Linked DNA regions of Astyanax mexicanus. The protein of the gene in region 1 interacts with the protein of each later gene in a biochemical or structural test. Links are inferred from orthologs where the notes say so. Each region holds a gene or a part of one and is shown in the gene's direction. Other genes may lie near its edges.

Region 1 (7,774 bases):
CTCACTGTGCAGCAATGGATGAGCTTCTGATTTTACATCTACAGGGTAGCTATGTAGGAGTGCCTAATTGAGTGGACAGTGAGTAGACACAGTGTTTAAGCTGCTCTGTTTTGGTCCTGACCAGTTGAAATGCAGGGTAATAGGAGGATAATAAAGTAATAAATGCACAGGAACAGAAGGACTGTAGTCTGTAATTGTAGGGCTGTAATTGGTTTAAATAAAGTGATCGGTTGGTTGGTTGGTGGATATACTGTCACTGAAGGACAAACAATCTTGCATTTCTAAATTACTGGTTCACAGGAGATGAAACATTAAAGTTAGTAAATGTGAAATGATTTTATTGCAGATCATTTTTGGAGCATATGCAAATGCATTTATCTTCGGTAATTGGAGGTAATTGAGACTGAGACAGTTAATTAGGACAACAATTAATAAACTTTGTTCATATAAATTTACGTCAAACATAAGCCAGGGGCCCGTTTGACTTTTGTTTTACTCTCAATAGAAGACCAGGAGGTACTACCCCACAGTTTGTGGAAACCTGTTTGGTTTGAGTCTAATTATAGTCCTCAGTCCTGCAGCATAGTGGGAAAGAGGATACAGGCCTGTACGTAGCATTGCATCAGAGTCAGTGAGGGAGCTAAATATACTGCGGAGCTTAATCTTCTGTAGTTACTAGCGCACAGCTGTTAAGCCACTGTAGTGATAGACATGCGTGGTTCATACAAAACATTCTTGTGCTTAGCATTAAATGAGATCCTTACATAGCAGAGGATATTGGCACCCTACTGTGTAGCCTGACAAATCTGTGGCCTTCAGGGGTTTGAGCTTTATTTGTTTATACTGTTACTTTCTTAGCTTGTGTATTTTAAGGGAACAGCACATTTAAAGTGAAAGATGTTCTGACCTACCTCTAAGGCGGACAGGAAAATATATTTCCTCATCTTTCTATCTGAAGTGTAACCTTGCATTTAAATGGCTAAATTTGGACTGGGAATCCTACAAGCTCAAATATAATTCTGTTAAATGTTTTCTCGTACTCCCTAGCCTGCTTCTGTGTTTTCAAAAGAGAGTAGGCACCCATCCAACCTGGCCTTCTGCCACCATGTCTCAGCTCCACTTTTGTGTGTTGGAGAGGACAGGTGCAGTGGACTGCTATGCCCCCCTGATGACTGAGTACTGTTGTTTCTCATCATAGGGCCTTTCATTGCCAAGAGTGTAACCCTGCAAATGTGTTGCCGTTTCCATTCTCTGCAACAGACCCTACTGAAAATATACATTTGCTGTTGCTCAAGTGTATTTATAATGAATTGACACGTATGTATTATATTTGAATTATATATTATGTTTGGTATTTCTAGAGAAGTTTAGCAGGACGAAATACAGACAAACATCTAAAAGCTTTAAAAGGAAAATCAGATCAGATATTGGTCAGACAGTAGATAATATACATGCTGTATTTCCCATGATGTGTAGGTGTTTTGTTTGATGCTAAAAATAGCCCCCTTTGAGTTCTGTTTTGAGAACCATATCTGACTAATTTTAGGTGTTTGACATTTGATCTATTGAATCAAGAAGATTGTACAAATATGACTGTGTTGCAGTAAAAGGTGTGTTGTTAAGCACAAAAAAAAAAAAAAAAATTTTAGCATGATTGCGTTTTCACACTCTCTATACCAGCTGTGGTTGTTTGGTGATGCACACAGCGTTGTGCTTGCACTGAACAACAGGAGGATATACAGATACCCAGCTGAGCCCAAATATAGGAACAACACTGCCCTCAAATGGTTCTAAAATCATTTCCTCTACACGGGATAAGCCCAGTCCTAAGATTTTAACTGAGACTAAAAATACTTTACTGGACATTCCATGCAGTCTTAGACTTTAATCTGTGCTCAGAAAACTGCTATTAGGAGCTTTGGGAATTTAAATGTAAAAAAAGGTGACTTAACAATACTGGCCTAATATTAGGGATATACTGAAATGGAACATTTTTGACCAAAACCAAACAACAAGTCTGAATACAGAATATAAAGTGTTTTTTTATTATTAGTATTACCATTTTAACATAGATAAGTTCAGTTGTCAAATATTTGGTGCATTGTCATTTGTCATCTACTACATCTACATCTACATTAATTCATTATTTGTGGGTTTCAGATAAAAAAAGAAAATCTGGTTAAAATTCAGATTCAGACAAAAAAAAACATTAAAATGTGTTTAAAAGACATTTAAAAAAAATACATAACAGAATATTGTACAGGCAAGAAAACAATTATTTGAAATAAAAGTACTATGTAAAAGGGAATCATTTTTTATGAGAATGCAAAATGTGCTAAAGGCTTTGTGCCCTATTTACATACCTAATACTTAATATTTTATTAACTATTGTTTGTTACCATTATAAAAAAGTTAATGGTATGTTTGTTTTTAACTTGTGTTTTTTCTTTCTTCTCTTTTCAGTGAGCGAGATCATTGTCAGAGACTTGTTCCAGAGTCCAGATCCTGCAGGGGATTCTTATAGCTTGCCATAGCAGCACTGTTACTGAGTCAGATCCTCTGACATGATCAAGTTGTACTGTACATACTGTAATGTATTTTATCTGCCTTATACTTTTAAAAGGGCTTCATAAAGAAAACTTATCATACATTTTGTATTTGCAATAATCAAATGTGTTTATAAGCAGTTGCTGCATAGTATGGGTTCGAGCTTTACTAGGATTGCTAGGTACTATCTTTTGAATTGTTCTTTGAACTGGACTTATGAAATGTGAATGTTCAAGCTGAGACCTGAGACTAGATGTGCCTTTTGCTGAGGTGCCTTGAATGTGACATTCAGTTTAAAATCAACTCTTCACAAAATGTTGACTGTGAAGGGTGTTTATGACTCTATGCAATATTGTTTTTATGAATCTAAATATTTTGGGGTGGCTGTATAGGACATTTTACACTATTACAGTGTAACCTAGGTGTGATAGTTGAAGCTGCCACTGGAACTGTAGTTTGTAATTGTGTAATTTGGCATGATTGATTTGTGATTTGCTGAGAACACACTGATTTGTAACATTTTCTGTTAGACGACTTGTTACGTGACAGACACTTTTTATCTGAAACTTTTTCAGATTCCATATTCTATTTATGAAATTGTATGGAACATTAAGGTATGTGACCTTTTCCTATGCACTGAAATTTTGCCTGTGTAGAAAGCTTTGGAATTAAATATTGTTTTTCAACTATATTAAACAAACACTTTCTCCTATTTCTTTTATCTCTATTTCAAGATAAAAGCCATGTTTATGACAAAGACACTTATAGAAGGCCTTAAACTACAGTAGCCTTAAGACTTTAAAAACTTTAGGTATTTTTTTATATTTGACCTCTTGTGTTTTCGAAGTCTGCTGTCCAGATTTGTTTGTTTATTTATTTGTTTGTTTATTGCTGCCAAAAACTCATTAACACATTAATATGGAAAACACTTTGGGTTGTTAATAAGACTAGTCATAGACTATATTTTTGTCATAGACTATATCTTACTCTAAAAGTCTCAAAGTCTTCTTCTTTTATGTATGTGCCAGTAAACTAAACCAATACACTAAAGTGTCACTATGCAGAGTGCATCCAAAACTGCATTCATTAGCATACAATGTCTTCCAAACATGTCTAATAGTAACAGAAGTCTTCATGAACAGAGATACAGAGTCTACAGTGTAAGGTTTAACTCACTGGTTTGCCACACAACAGTTATTGTTTGCTAAAAATATTTAAAAACAGTTTGCAAAAAAAAGTTTGTGGAGAGATTAAATCAAAAATAACTAATAAAAACAATGACAAGGCAAGTATAGAGGGAAATCTAAAGAAGTGGTTTTTAAACGTTGTGGATGGGGCTACTGCAGCCCCCGACCACACAAACATATTTTAAACTAAAATATGTTTTATACTTTAGCCACATTTAGCGTTGAGGACAGATTTGCACACTCTTGGTATTGTCTCAGTGTCTTCATGAGGTATTCACCTGCAATAGTTTTCTAAGCATCTTGTATTAGTTGCTTATGAACTAGTAGAATAGCTGTTTTATTCTATAAACTACAGACATTTCTCCCAAATTCCAAATAAAAATACTGTTATTTAGAGATTTTATTTGCAGAAAATGAGAAATGGCAGAAATAACAAAAAATATGCAGAGCTTTCAGACCTCAAATAATGCAAAGAAAACAAATTCATATTCATAAAGTTTTTAAGAGTTCAGAAATCAATATTTGGTGGCATCTTGGCATCTTGGCATGTTCTCCTCCACCAATCTTACACACTGCTTTTGGATAACTTTATGGCACTCCTGGTGCAAAAATCCAAGCAGTTTAGCTTGGTTTGATGGCTTGTGATCACCCATCTTCCTCTTGATTATATTCCAGAGGTTTTCAATTTGGTAAAGTCAAAGAAACCCATAATTTTTAAGTGGTGTATATGGCCAGGACTTATATCTCGTTCCCATGCCTTAATAGGTCGTGGCAACGCATTATTATTATTTTTTTTACTTCACCATAGGGGCTTGTAGGTTACCTTTCTACAGCTATACTGGGGAGAGTTCAGTAATGGATTGGTAGACTTTTTTTAGCACTCTGAAGTCGATAGTTTAACTAATGATTTTTTTTACACACTTCCCAGCAATTAAATGCTGTATAACTAGAACTACAACAATCCCCCATCAGCGCCTTCCGCAGCAATAGTACAGTGGCGGAGTGATACGCGCCATGTTCTCTTGTGTAAACAGCGGAAGAGGCTCGGGTTGCGTCAGCAGCGCCGGAAAAGCTGAGAGAGAGAGAAACTCCGAGAAACAACTGGAAGACTGGAGCAGACACACACAGAGACGAACACAGCGGACCCCGGGAGTCCTGTAGTTGTAACACAGCCTGCACTACAAGTTCTGTTCGGACATTTGTGGGCGAACTCGGCCTGAAATAGTCACTGACGGCATTTCCCCCTGACTGCCTGAGTTCGTATTAATCCGCTTAAGAATATTACTGACATTACTGAGAGGCGAGGCTTCAGCTGGAGCGGTGAGCTATAGCCCTGCTGGCTTTAGCCTGTTAGCTTCTCTAGCTAACTAACCTGTCTTGCTGGAGACCACAGGCACTGCCAGTGAAACTGTAGCTATTGTTAAAACATTTGCCCGCCCTGAGATCTGTAGTAATGGAATTTAAAACCGAGAAAAGCAGAAAAATGCATGTAACCTAGCGTTAAATAGTCTAGTCTAGCTAACGTTAGTCGTTTTCACTGGTGTCTTGTGTTGTTTACACGTAATGCTAAACCAACTAGCTTAGCTTAGCTAACAGACAACACGTAAGCTAACCTAGATTTTGATAGCTAGCTGTCAGGCTAAGCTAGCTAGGTTAGCTTTCCCAATTCTAAGTTCTAAGGACTTGTGACAGCACAGAAACGAATTTTCAACTTGCTAGCTAATTATTTAGCTAGCTAAGGTTACCTAGTGTCTAGGTAACCTATCTAACGTTAACTTACCTTACCTGTCTAACTTATATATCTATTTAACCTGGTAGCTATCCAGCTTCACAGGGTTCGTGCCGTGACCTGAATCCTAAATAAAGCTTGTTAAATAGCCAACTAGGCCTGCTAAATAACTTGGTTAACTAATTAACTATTTAGCTAAACTATATCTAACGTTATAGAAGACGGGAGCTCACAGTACTGCTCCCACCCCATTTCATCATCAGTGTAAACATTTCAGTGTAAACACAGAAAGCCTCTCTGTAGATCCCTCTCTTTATCTGAAGACGTGCACACTGGACAGTCTCGCCATGCCCCTGTTGTTTCTGGAGAGGTTCCCCTGGCCCAGCCTGCAGACCTACACTGCGCTTAGCACAGTCCTGCTCGCTGGTTCGATCCTCAGTGCCTACACCGCTGTAACCCAGATCCCAGAGCCCGCAGCTCCGGTAGCAGAGGACGCCCGGACCGAGCCCATCGAGGACAGTAAAGCTGATCAAGGAGAGGCCATTGAACATGTTGCCTCTAACGTGTTGCTGTATCTCATCGCCGACAACTTATTCGTCTGGGTAAGTGCTCTTACTAATGGTCCACTGTGACAGCAAACAGCGTCCTTATAGATTATTTAGCTTATTTTGTCCCTGTGTTTATGAAGATCAACGAGTAATCACCCCCCAAAGCAAACTGCACTGTCCTATCTCTTCAGGTGATGGTGAATACAGCATGCTGTGTCCTCATGCTAATCGCCAAGGTGATCCAGTGCATTGTTTTTGGTCCTCTGCGGGTCAGTGAGAAACAGGTGAGCGCAAAAGCTTGCATAGGGCTTGGCCCTGATTATTGAAGAAGCATTTTATTCAATGATGCACAAAATATTCTCAGACTGAAGTTATTCAGCCAAAAATAAAAAAAAAGCATATTAATATTAATGAATATTTTCACAATAAGACTACTGAACATTGCAGTTTTTGTAGTTGTTATTTGCCAGAATGTTTAACCTTTTGCTTTATGAAGCTTCCTCTTAGCTACACCTCTGTGTTCTAACAACAGAGTTTGGGGATTTTTTTGTTTTCTTATGAAACCCCTATGTCTCTGTGCTACCTCTATCCCAACAGCACTTGAAGGACAAGTTCTGGAACTTTATCTTCTATAAATTTATCTTCATCTTTGGAGTGCTGAATGTGCAAACAGTGGACGAGGTAGTGCTGTGGTGTTTGTGGTTTGCTGTACTTATCTTCCTTCATCTCATGGTTCAGCTCTGTAAAGATCGGTTTGAATATGTGAGTACTCCTATAAGCACTTAGAAAGAATTCTTGGTTGTTTTTGAATTTAACTAAGTATATAGCTCTTTTATCTACTGTTTCATGTGGAATTGTGAATTTAAAAGGAAATCACACTCAGATATTCATTCATTCTGTTTCCCCCCCCCCCCTAGCTGTCATTCTCCCCAACCACCCCCATGAGCAGTCATGTGCGAGTACTGGCCTTGCTAGTGTCCATGCTGTTGTGCTGTGGAGGCCTAGCTGCGCTCTGTGGCCTGGTCGGACATCTTCATGGCATGCATACTGTTGCATTTATGACAGCTGAGGTAGGGATTTTTCAGTTTCCGAGCTTCTCTGTAACACTAGAGAGGAAATTGATAGTTGTTTTATGAATGGAAAAACAGAATCCTTTTCTATTTTGCAGTGTTTACTTGTTACGGTGCGCACTGGACATGTTATTATAAGGTAAGCATTTTGTCAGTCCAGTATCAATTACGAGTGTACCGCCGTTTATGCTGTCACTTGCAGGCAAAGAAACCTGAGCTGTTAAGTGCTTCGAAAAATATATCACTGAGGTTTTGCTTGTACTGTTTTTTTAGGTACTCTATTCACCTGTGGGACCTGAATCATGAGGGGACTTGGGAGAGCAAAGGCTCTTATGTCTACTACACTGATTTCATTATGGAGCTTGCTCTTCTCTGTCTTGACCTGATGCATCATATTCACATGTTGGTGAGTGGCATGTGGTTATTGATTTGAAAGCAGCTTATTTTATGTAATGCTAAGCATTTAATTGAATCATTCTTGCAGTCCGATGAGTCTACCTTTTGGACTAGGACTACAGTGCAGCCACAGATCATTTAGATCAAGAGTATTATTAGGATAAAAAAAAATCTTCTTTAGAGCATGGTTGTATTTTATCTTTAATTTATTCTTTCAAATATGAGTAATTGCTTGCTCATTAGAACTGGATCTGAACCAGACTGCTCTTGACAGATTGCTACAACTTTAGCTCTGTG
Region 2 (7,673 bases), on another chromosome or scaffold:
TATATATATATATATATATATATATATATATATATATATATATATATATATATATATATATATATATATGTATATAATTCTAAATTTGCAACTGTTTCACAGAACCTGTGTTCCAACCACGCATTTTTTTCTTTTATGCAGTTAACCCAGGGTTTGATCCAGCTACAGAACCAGGACTAGATGCCAGAAACATCAGCACATCAAGTATGCATAGATCAGGTTAAAAGTAAAGCTAAGTGATAGTAGATGATGGTAGATGTTATGTTGAAATATTTTACCCAAGTAGAAGACTGTATTGTGAAAGAATGTCTAGTCATGCATAGGAGATAAAAATAAGAAAAAGAGAAAAATAAGGCCTGCAAGTGAAATGTTTTTTTCTATGACTGTTGTGTGAAGATATATGTACATATTTGTGCAGATTGTACATAACTGTCTCTGTTTCAGTGGATCCTGAATCGCTTATAGCCATGACTCAACCCAGCACCGTCTTTCAGACTAAGCAAGAAAAGAAGACTATTGATGTGTATTGGCTGTTTGATGATGGAGGTGAAGCTATTTTCATTTGTTTGTATTTAATGCTTAACTAATTAGACCCAGTATGAAACAGATGTCTAGGTAGTAATAATGCATTGACCAGAAACAATCATCAGATTGCAAAAAGAAGCAAGGGCTTTCATGGGTGGCATATAGTCTAAAAGGTTCAAGAACCACTGCTGTCTAAAACTGATGCAACTTTGGCTAATGCTGTGTTTTGTCAGGCCTGACGCTACTGCTGCCGTACCTTCTGAAGCGTAAGAAGCGCTGGGGCAGGTGTAAAGTGAGAGTGTTTGTGGGAGGAGAGATTCAACATGCTGAGGAACAGAAACAAGAGTAAGTCAAGCAAAAATGAAACACTTATCTGGATGAGTATATTCATTTATCACTGTGAAGAGAAATAAAATAACATAGCAATACGTAAAGTTGTATTATTTATTATTCATCAACGCTGTAAAACATAAATGCAAATATTAATCAGATTGTCTCAGTGTTTAGGTTTGTCCACTTTAAATTTTTGGTTTCCTCAGACCTTCTGATCCTCTCTCTTTATCTCTTCATCTCTATAGGCTAACAGCTCTCATCAGCAAGTTTCGCCTTGGATTCCATGAGATTCAAATCCTCCCTGACATCAACGAGAAACCTCAGCCTGAACAGTATTAGTCCTTTTCTCACTTACATTTTTGTGCCACACTGTGCTTTTTTTACATAATATGCATTTACATGGTGTAACAGCTAATTGTGACAATTTCTCCCGACTTTGACAGTGTTAAGAAGTTTGAAGACCTGTTAGGGCCATACAGGGCACATGCTATGCAAAAGAATGGAGAAAGAGGTGCCCAGACCTTCAGTGAGTGTCCGTGGACAGTGTCTGATGAAGATTTTGAAAAGAATTTGGCAAAGGTAACCATTTAAAAAAGTTTTAAGATTTAGATATATAAAAAGGTAAATTGGTCTATATTCATATAATGACAATATGGGCTCTTAGTACATAAAGGTGATAGTAATGCAGTTTGTCAATAAATTAGACGATAGATATTAGATTTTTGGTCATGTGACACAGTGGGTTACACATGCAGTATGTAGATCGAGCATGAACACACGAGACGGCTTGGGATTGTCCACGTCTTTATTAGTGTTGTGAACTGAACACAAGCTTGCTCATGGCAAGGCAATCTGAATTATCTGAGTTTGAGTGTAGGTGCCAGATGGATGGGACATGGGTCATGTGTATGGAACATAGGTCACAGCAAAATGTTATAGGTGCCATTACCTCCCACAATGAACAGCACAGTGTGTGGTAATGATCATAACCTGCGGCATCTGGCTAGATTTGTCCATCTGAACGAACAAATGACTTTGGCATAAATCTGCTTTCATTTCAGGAGACCATATACACATATCACACAAGTCAATGTAGCATTCTTTAGCTTCCTTGAAATATGATGAAAATTATTATTATATTAGTGTATGATACAAATCTAAGTTGCTTAGTCAGCCAAGACAACAAAAACAACCATCCAAATACTGCAAATATAATAATAATGACATTTTGTTGCATTTCTGTAATGCTTCTATGCATTTCTGTGTGTTTTTCCAGTCTTTCAGACAGATCCGCCTTAACGAAGTCCTAAAGGACTACTCGAGAGATGCTGCATTGATTATTGTGTAAGTTTATATCAGAATTTTACAGCTTTACTGTCCCAGTGCTTCTACAGTTTTTAATGATTGCTGAATTTGTTGGTATGTGAAAAGTAGCCTCTACAGACACTTGCGCCCAAAAGACTTAATAAGGCAAGGATCCATTTTTTGTTATTAATGTCTTCATTACCTGAAGGAGATCCTTGCTTTTTGCTTGGCAGGACCATGCCCATAGGCCGGAGAGGAGCCTGCCCGAGTGCACTCTACATGGCTTGGCTGGAGACCGTGTGCCGTGACCTGCGACCTCCAGTCCTGCTGGTCAGGGGGAACCAGGAGAATGTCCTCACTTTCTACTGCCAGTGATCAACCTGCCAAAATCTTATTAGCTGCAGCTGTGAAGTGCAGGACAGGAGACTGGTGGTCCCTCTAGAACTATGGTTCATAATCTGGGGATTCTGACGTAGTCCCTTGGAGGAGAGGGATGCTGATTTTAAACCCTAAAAAGGGGTTGCACAGTACAAAAAGGGTATGAATCCCCGTTCTAGAAAATGTAAAATAAGATGGTACTCACTCTAGCACTTGAATTTGTCTTTTTTAACTAATGAACTGTTGCTAAAATGTTTGAGTCATTATAGGACTGATCCAAGTGATGTAATATTTTATTTGATTCCTATAATTCTGTGCAAAATATTTCTAGAATATGTTATATTATCTGAGAAGTTGAAGGTTTTGTTGTGTTTAGTAATATAATTTTATAACTCAGTTTTTTGACAATAGGGGTGGTCTTTACTGTAAATGTTTAGGTGGTGGACCCACTTTCAATCCAGCATTTACATTAGCATGTGTAAAACTGCCAGCATTTACTTACATTTTCTACGTACACCGGTTCCTCACACACTAGGATGTCAGTTTTATATCAGATGAATTACTTGCGCAACAGCAGCATTTTAACCATAAACTGACCAGTAATGGAATTTGGATAAGAAAATGTACAGCAACAAATAATGTCCAGCCCATAAACAGTGAACATAGTAAAGTAAAATCAGTAATGTATTCATCAAATGCATTTTGTTATATTAAAGTGTATTAAAAATTTAAGCAATTAGCCTTCTGATTATTTCTGCTTTCTGTACTTCTACCTTGTTACCTCCTCTTCTTACATTGTTTTAGTAATTCAAATTATTTTTTTCAAATATTTGGATCATTGTTCAAAAGATCCAAATCACCTTTTAAAACATTTAAGGCATTTGTTAAGTATTTAAATCAGATTCTAAAAGACTTGTAGAGATGCTGGTCTTTTAAACAGAAATTTGAATCACCAACATTAAAGATTTAAATTTTGTAAAAAAAAAAAAAAGATTTGAAACACTTTTTTCTTTAAACTATTTTTTTTAAAAACTGATTTGAACTATTTTAAAATAGGATTTGAGTCTATCAAACCATGTTCAACTATTTGATCAAAAGATTTGAATAGTTTTGGAAACTGATTTGATATTTGCTAAATAATGTAATTATTTATCAAAAGACTCAAATCACTTTTAGAAAGGGCCATATTACTATATATCTAAGGGAGAAACTCTGTGCTGTATCATCATATTTTTTAATGGAAGTAAATGTAAAAATATTTAATTACATTGTCATTTTTTTCATATTAAGTCATTTTAGAGCATTTCTAATGGTCTATTCATTGTTCATCAATTCACTATTTCCTTTATATGTATATGTATAATATCCATTATTCTTGGATCCAACATGCTCATAGCAAAGGCAGCACTAGAGCCAACAAAGCAAGTAAGAGCTATTTGTTTCTAATTTCACGTGATTCTGAACACTTAAATTATGTTACAATTACTGTTTATGGATGATTTGTAAAGTAAAAAGATCAATATCAAATCTAATATAAAAATGTTAAACACAGGCATCCAATGAAATGGACATTAAAAAAAGCTATTAAAATATTAATAGGATTTTAATTGGATTTTATTTTTATTTTACTTTAGACTATTAGAGACTCCTTTTGTGTAAATTGCAGGAAGAATATTTTTCACTGGCATATAATTCAGGCTTAACACATTAATACACTAATTGAGGAAGGCTTATCAATAAATCAAAAAATAGATCAGCATTATAAAACAAGTCATAATAACAGAAGAACTTTCTATTTTTTGTATTGATGCTACTAAGATTGTAGAAGTGAATTAAAAAGACCGGAAATTAATTAAATAAATATGTAGGAAAGCTCAGTTTTGGGTCTGAAATTTTTGCTTGTGAATAAAATATTTTGCGAGTAGAATATAACATTTTACAATATATTCTAAAGGTTTATTCGATGAATCATTAAGATAAAGGTGATATTTCATCATACTGGTCAGAGTAGCTAACCGAAGTGACGCGGCTCGGGGGAGTTTATTATCTAAGCAGGATCTCGCAGCGAGTCTGCGCACTGCGCTGCCTGTCTCACAGGCTCCACGTCGAAGCGCGAGCGGCTCTTAGCCAATCAGGCGCGGCCACACTGTGTTTTGGAAACAACACGCCCGAGTATTTCACCTCCATCAACTTCCACCGTGAGAGCCGAAACCGCGGGGGACAGCTTTATTACTCTGTACTGGAGAGCGAGGGAGCTGGATACACACGGAGCTGCTCTTTAAACCCAGGCTGGGGGGGTTATTAGGCTTATTTTGCGAACATTGTGGAGACGGTACCGTAGCGTTATTGACGAGGTTAGCCAAGCTAGCTAAATAGCTTAGCTGTTGACAGAAGAAGAAAGAGAGAAAGAACGAGAACACAGAGAGAATGGAGGACCTGAATGTTCAGGAGAAAGGAGAGATATCTCTTGTGGTTAAAACACCCAATCAGATACATGGCGACCAGCTGGTGGAGGGTGTAAATATTAACTGGACGGTGAAGGATCTGAAAACTCATCTGACAAGAGTTTATCCATCCAAACCGGTAAGTCCTGGGTGTGTTATGGTCTCACTAGCTAACGAGAAGCTGACCGGTGTTCTGTCGAGTTATGCTACGCGTCGATATGTGCTTCCGAACGGTACTGCGCATGCGCCGACATAATTTTTTTTAAATGTTTTCATGAAAATACTGTTGTTTTTCTTGGGGCCATTATACATGAGATTTTGATGATATTGTTAATGATATTTACTCGAGTGTTACAAAAAGTGTATACGGCAGTTAAAAAAAATAATTGTAAACAAATATAACGTAAAATGAAAAGTTACACAAACTGTTTTTAATTACCTAATATGACCTTAACTTTACCTGATACAGTGATTTGGTCTATTTTAGTTCCTTAGCTACCTAACGCTACACGTCTGCCAGGAGCATTTTTCTAATATAGGGCTTTTTATGGTGCTTTGTTGTTGTTGTTGCATTTTTACCTGTAAATATACACTAGAGTAGGAAGCACGATTTGACAGGGTAAAGTACAACTTGTCAGAACACCGGCTAAAGTTGACATTGTTAGCTGTGTAAGCTATAGCTGTTTTACATAATACAATATGTAAAATACTGCTTGGGTGCAGTAAAAGGTAATAAGAACTTGATATGTCATTGTATGCCTGACTGTTACAAAAGTGTATATTGCATTAAAAATATACAAATACATAAATTGTTTCTAATCAACTAATATTACTTTAACTTTACCTTATACAGTGATTTGGCCTATTCTAATACCCTACCTAACGCTACACGTCTTACCTTTAAAGTTACACTATGGTAGGAAGCACGGTTTGACAGGGTAGCACAACCTGACAGAACACCGGCCAATGTCATTGTTAGCTAACAAACCTAGCTAAACTGACAAGTTTGATAAAGCTGATAACGTTAGGTAGCTAACGCTAGTTATTTGTTAACATTAGCTACTGGGGCGGTTTATCGTTTGGTGTAGCATAAAGTCGGTGTAAACTAGCTGGTTAGCTAATAGCGAATGTAGCTTCAGATAGAGCTCTGTTTTTGTACACCACATTCCTTCGCTCTCCGCACACACTGTTCCTGTCAGTCAGCTGACCGTCAACCAATTAGCCACCACAGCTAGCGTTAGATAGGCTGCTTCATGCTGTATTGTTAACTTCTCTGCATTTTAGCATTATTTAATGCTAGCTAATATGTCTCCTGTGGGTATTTCCCAAAACAGGTTTTCTCAGTTTGGCTACAGTTTCAAAATTTCCAACAGTGTCACTCATATTGTACATTCCTAATGTCTAATCTAAAGTTAATTTTCTAGGTTACATGGTCAACTTGGAAAATTTGATGTTTTATTTAATATCATATCATTATTTATTATTATTTACAAAATTCTTAAGCATTCTCTATTTAATGTTTTATTGGTTTTAAAGAAATTGCAATAAACAGGGAAATAGTACAATAATCTCAACAAACAAGCAAAAAACATTTGTTGGTAACACACCAAAGAAAATGAGCAACAGTGTTATAAGCACTAAAATATTCTATAAAATAAATAAAGCAATAAAAACAGAAGTATAAGAAATATTACACAAAAAAATAGATGGATGTTCCACAACATAGAATTGATCAGTTTTGCCAGTTAACTCAAGCCCAAAGCAGAGCCTGTCAATTAGGAGAATTTATTAGTCAGTCCTAAAAGCTGGGCTGATGTTATCTGGCTAAACCTAAACAACACTAAACACTTTTCTACATTGTAAAGTGCCACCAGGTCTTTATACAGAGAAACAAGACTATAACCTAGCACATCCAGTGACTCTGTCACCACTCACAATATCTGTGTTATACAGCTTATGTTGCATACATAATGTTACATGTTTTTTGATTCCTTTTAATTACCTAAAGTTTAACATCATCTGTAAAACAACTCTTTTATATATTTGGGGATTTTTAAACATTAGTATTGACATTTCTAACTTTCTTCCTGCCAGCCTGAGAAAGACCAGAGGCTTATCTACTCCGGAAAGCTGCTTCCAGACCACCTGCATATCAAAGATATTTTCAGACAGGTGAGTTTTTGGCATCTGTAAGTTTTCAGTTAGGTTACGCACCTGAATGTTATTAAAGCTATGTTTCTTCAAGACAGTTACACGTTTTTAATTATTTGTGTGATTTTGTGACGTTACTTTAAAACTTGCAAACAACAAAGGCCATACATGTATCAGACTAAACAAAGGCCTTTAAGCATGCATGACTAGACCTCTTACCTTTGATGTTTGGGAGAACTGTTCAGTGACACTTAGATGAACTTAGTGAACTGTCCTACAGGACCTGTAACATCAGCATGAACTGCCCCAAAGAAGCTACTTTGAGACAGTTTGGCATGTCCTGACAACAAACCTATCCTCCAAATATGTTCAGAGGGCCAGGCTGTTTTTACTGTTGTTCCAGCTGCCACATAGAAGCACTAAACACCCCTTGTGGCCCCTCAGTCACAAAACACATGCACACAAATGTTTACGCTCTGTTTTGGAAATGCTCTCCTTTTAGAAAGAAACTTTTCTTTGTCTGTAATGGCATTTTTT

The links. The genes of interacting proteins can lie anywhere in the genome.
Region 2: of the proteins of amfra (region 1) and herpud1, one has a biochemical effect on the other in vitro, tested with the Homo sapiens proteins (6 studies listed by BioGRID and IntAct, with this or other methods). The link is inferred for Astyanax mexicanus from reciprocal best matches to the Homo sapiens genes AMFR and HERPUD1.

Annotation. Positions count from the first base shown.
Region 1 is NC_064409.1:59,157,507-59,165,280, reverse strand, and holds the start of amfra (autocrine motility factor receptor a), read left to right. Parts: upstream 1-4,760; 5' UTR 4,761-5,810; coding exon 5,811-6,065; intron 6,066-6,202; coding exon 6,203-6,295; intron 6,296-6,608; coding exon 6,609-6,773; intron 6,774-6,928; coding exon 6,929-7,081; intron 7,082-7,179; coding exon 7,180-7,220; intron 7,221-7,354; coding exon 7,355-7,487; intron 7,488-7,774. Other genes in the region: nfatc3b (nuclear factor of activated T-cells, cytoplasmic 3), read left to right, coding at 2,464-2,534. UniProt on the Homo sapiens protein: E3 ubiquitin-protein ligase that mediates the polyubiquitination of lysine and cysteine residues on target proteins, such as CD3D, CYP3A4, CFTR, INSIG1, SOAT2/ACAT2 and APOB for proteasomal degradation.
Region 2 is NC_064416.1:22,559,271-22,566,943, forward strand, and holds the start of herpud1 (homocysteine-responsive endoplasmic reticulum-resident ubiquitin-like domain member 1 protein), read left to right. Parts: upstream 1-4,661; 5' UTR 4,662-4,968; coding exon 4,969-5,124; intron 5,125-7,079; coding exon 7,080-7,157; intron 7,158-7,673. Other genes in the region: slc12a3 (solute carrier family 12 member 3), read left to right, coding at 142-204, 445-546, 759-870, 1,104-1,190, 1,302-1,437, 2,135-2,202, 2,397-2,538. UniProt on the Homo sapiens protein: Component of the endoplasmic reticulum quality control (ERQC) system also called ER-associated degradation (ERAD) involved in ubiquitin-dependent degradation of misfolded endoplasmic reticulum proteins.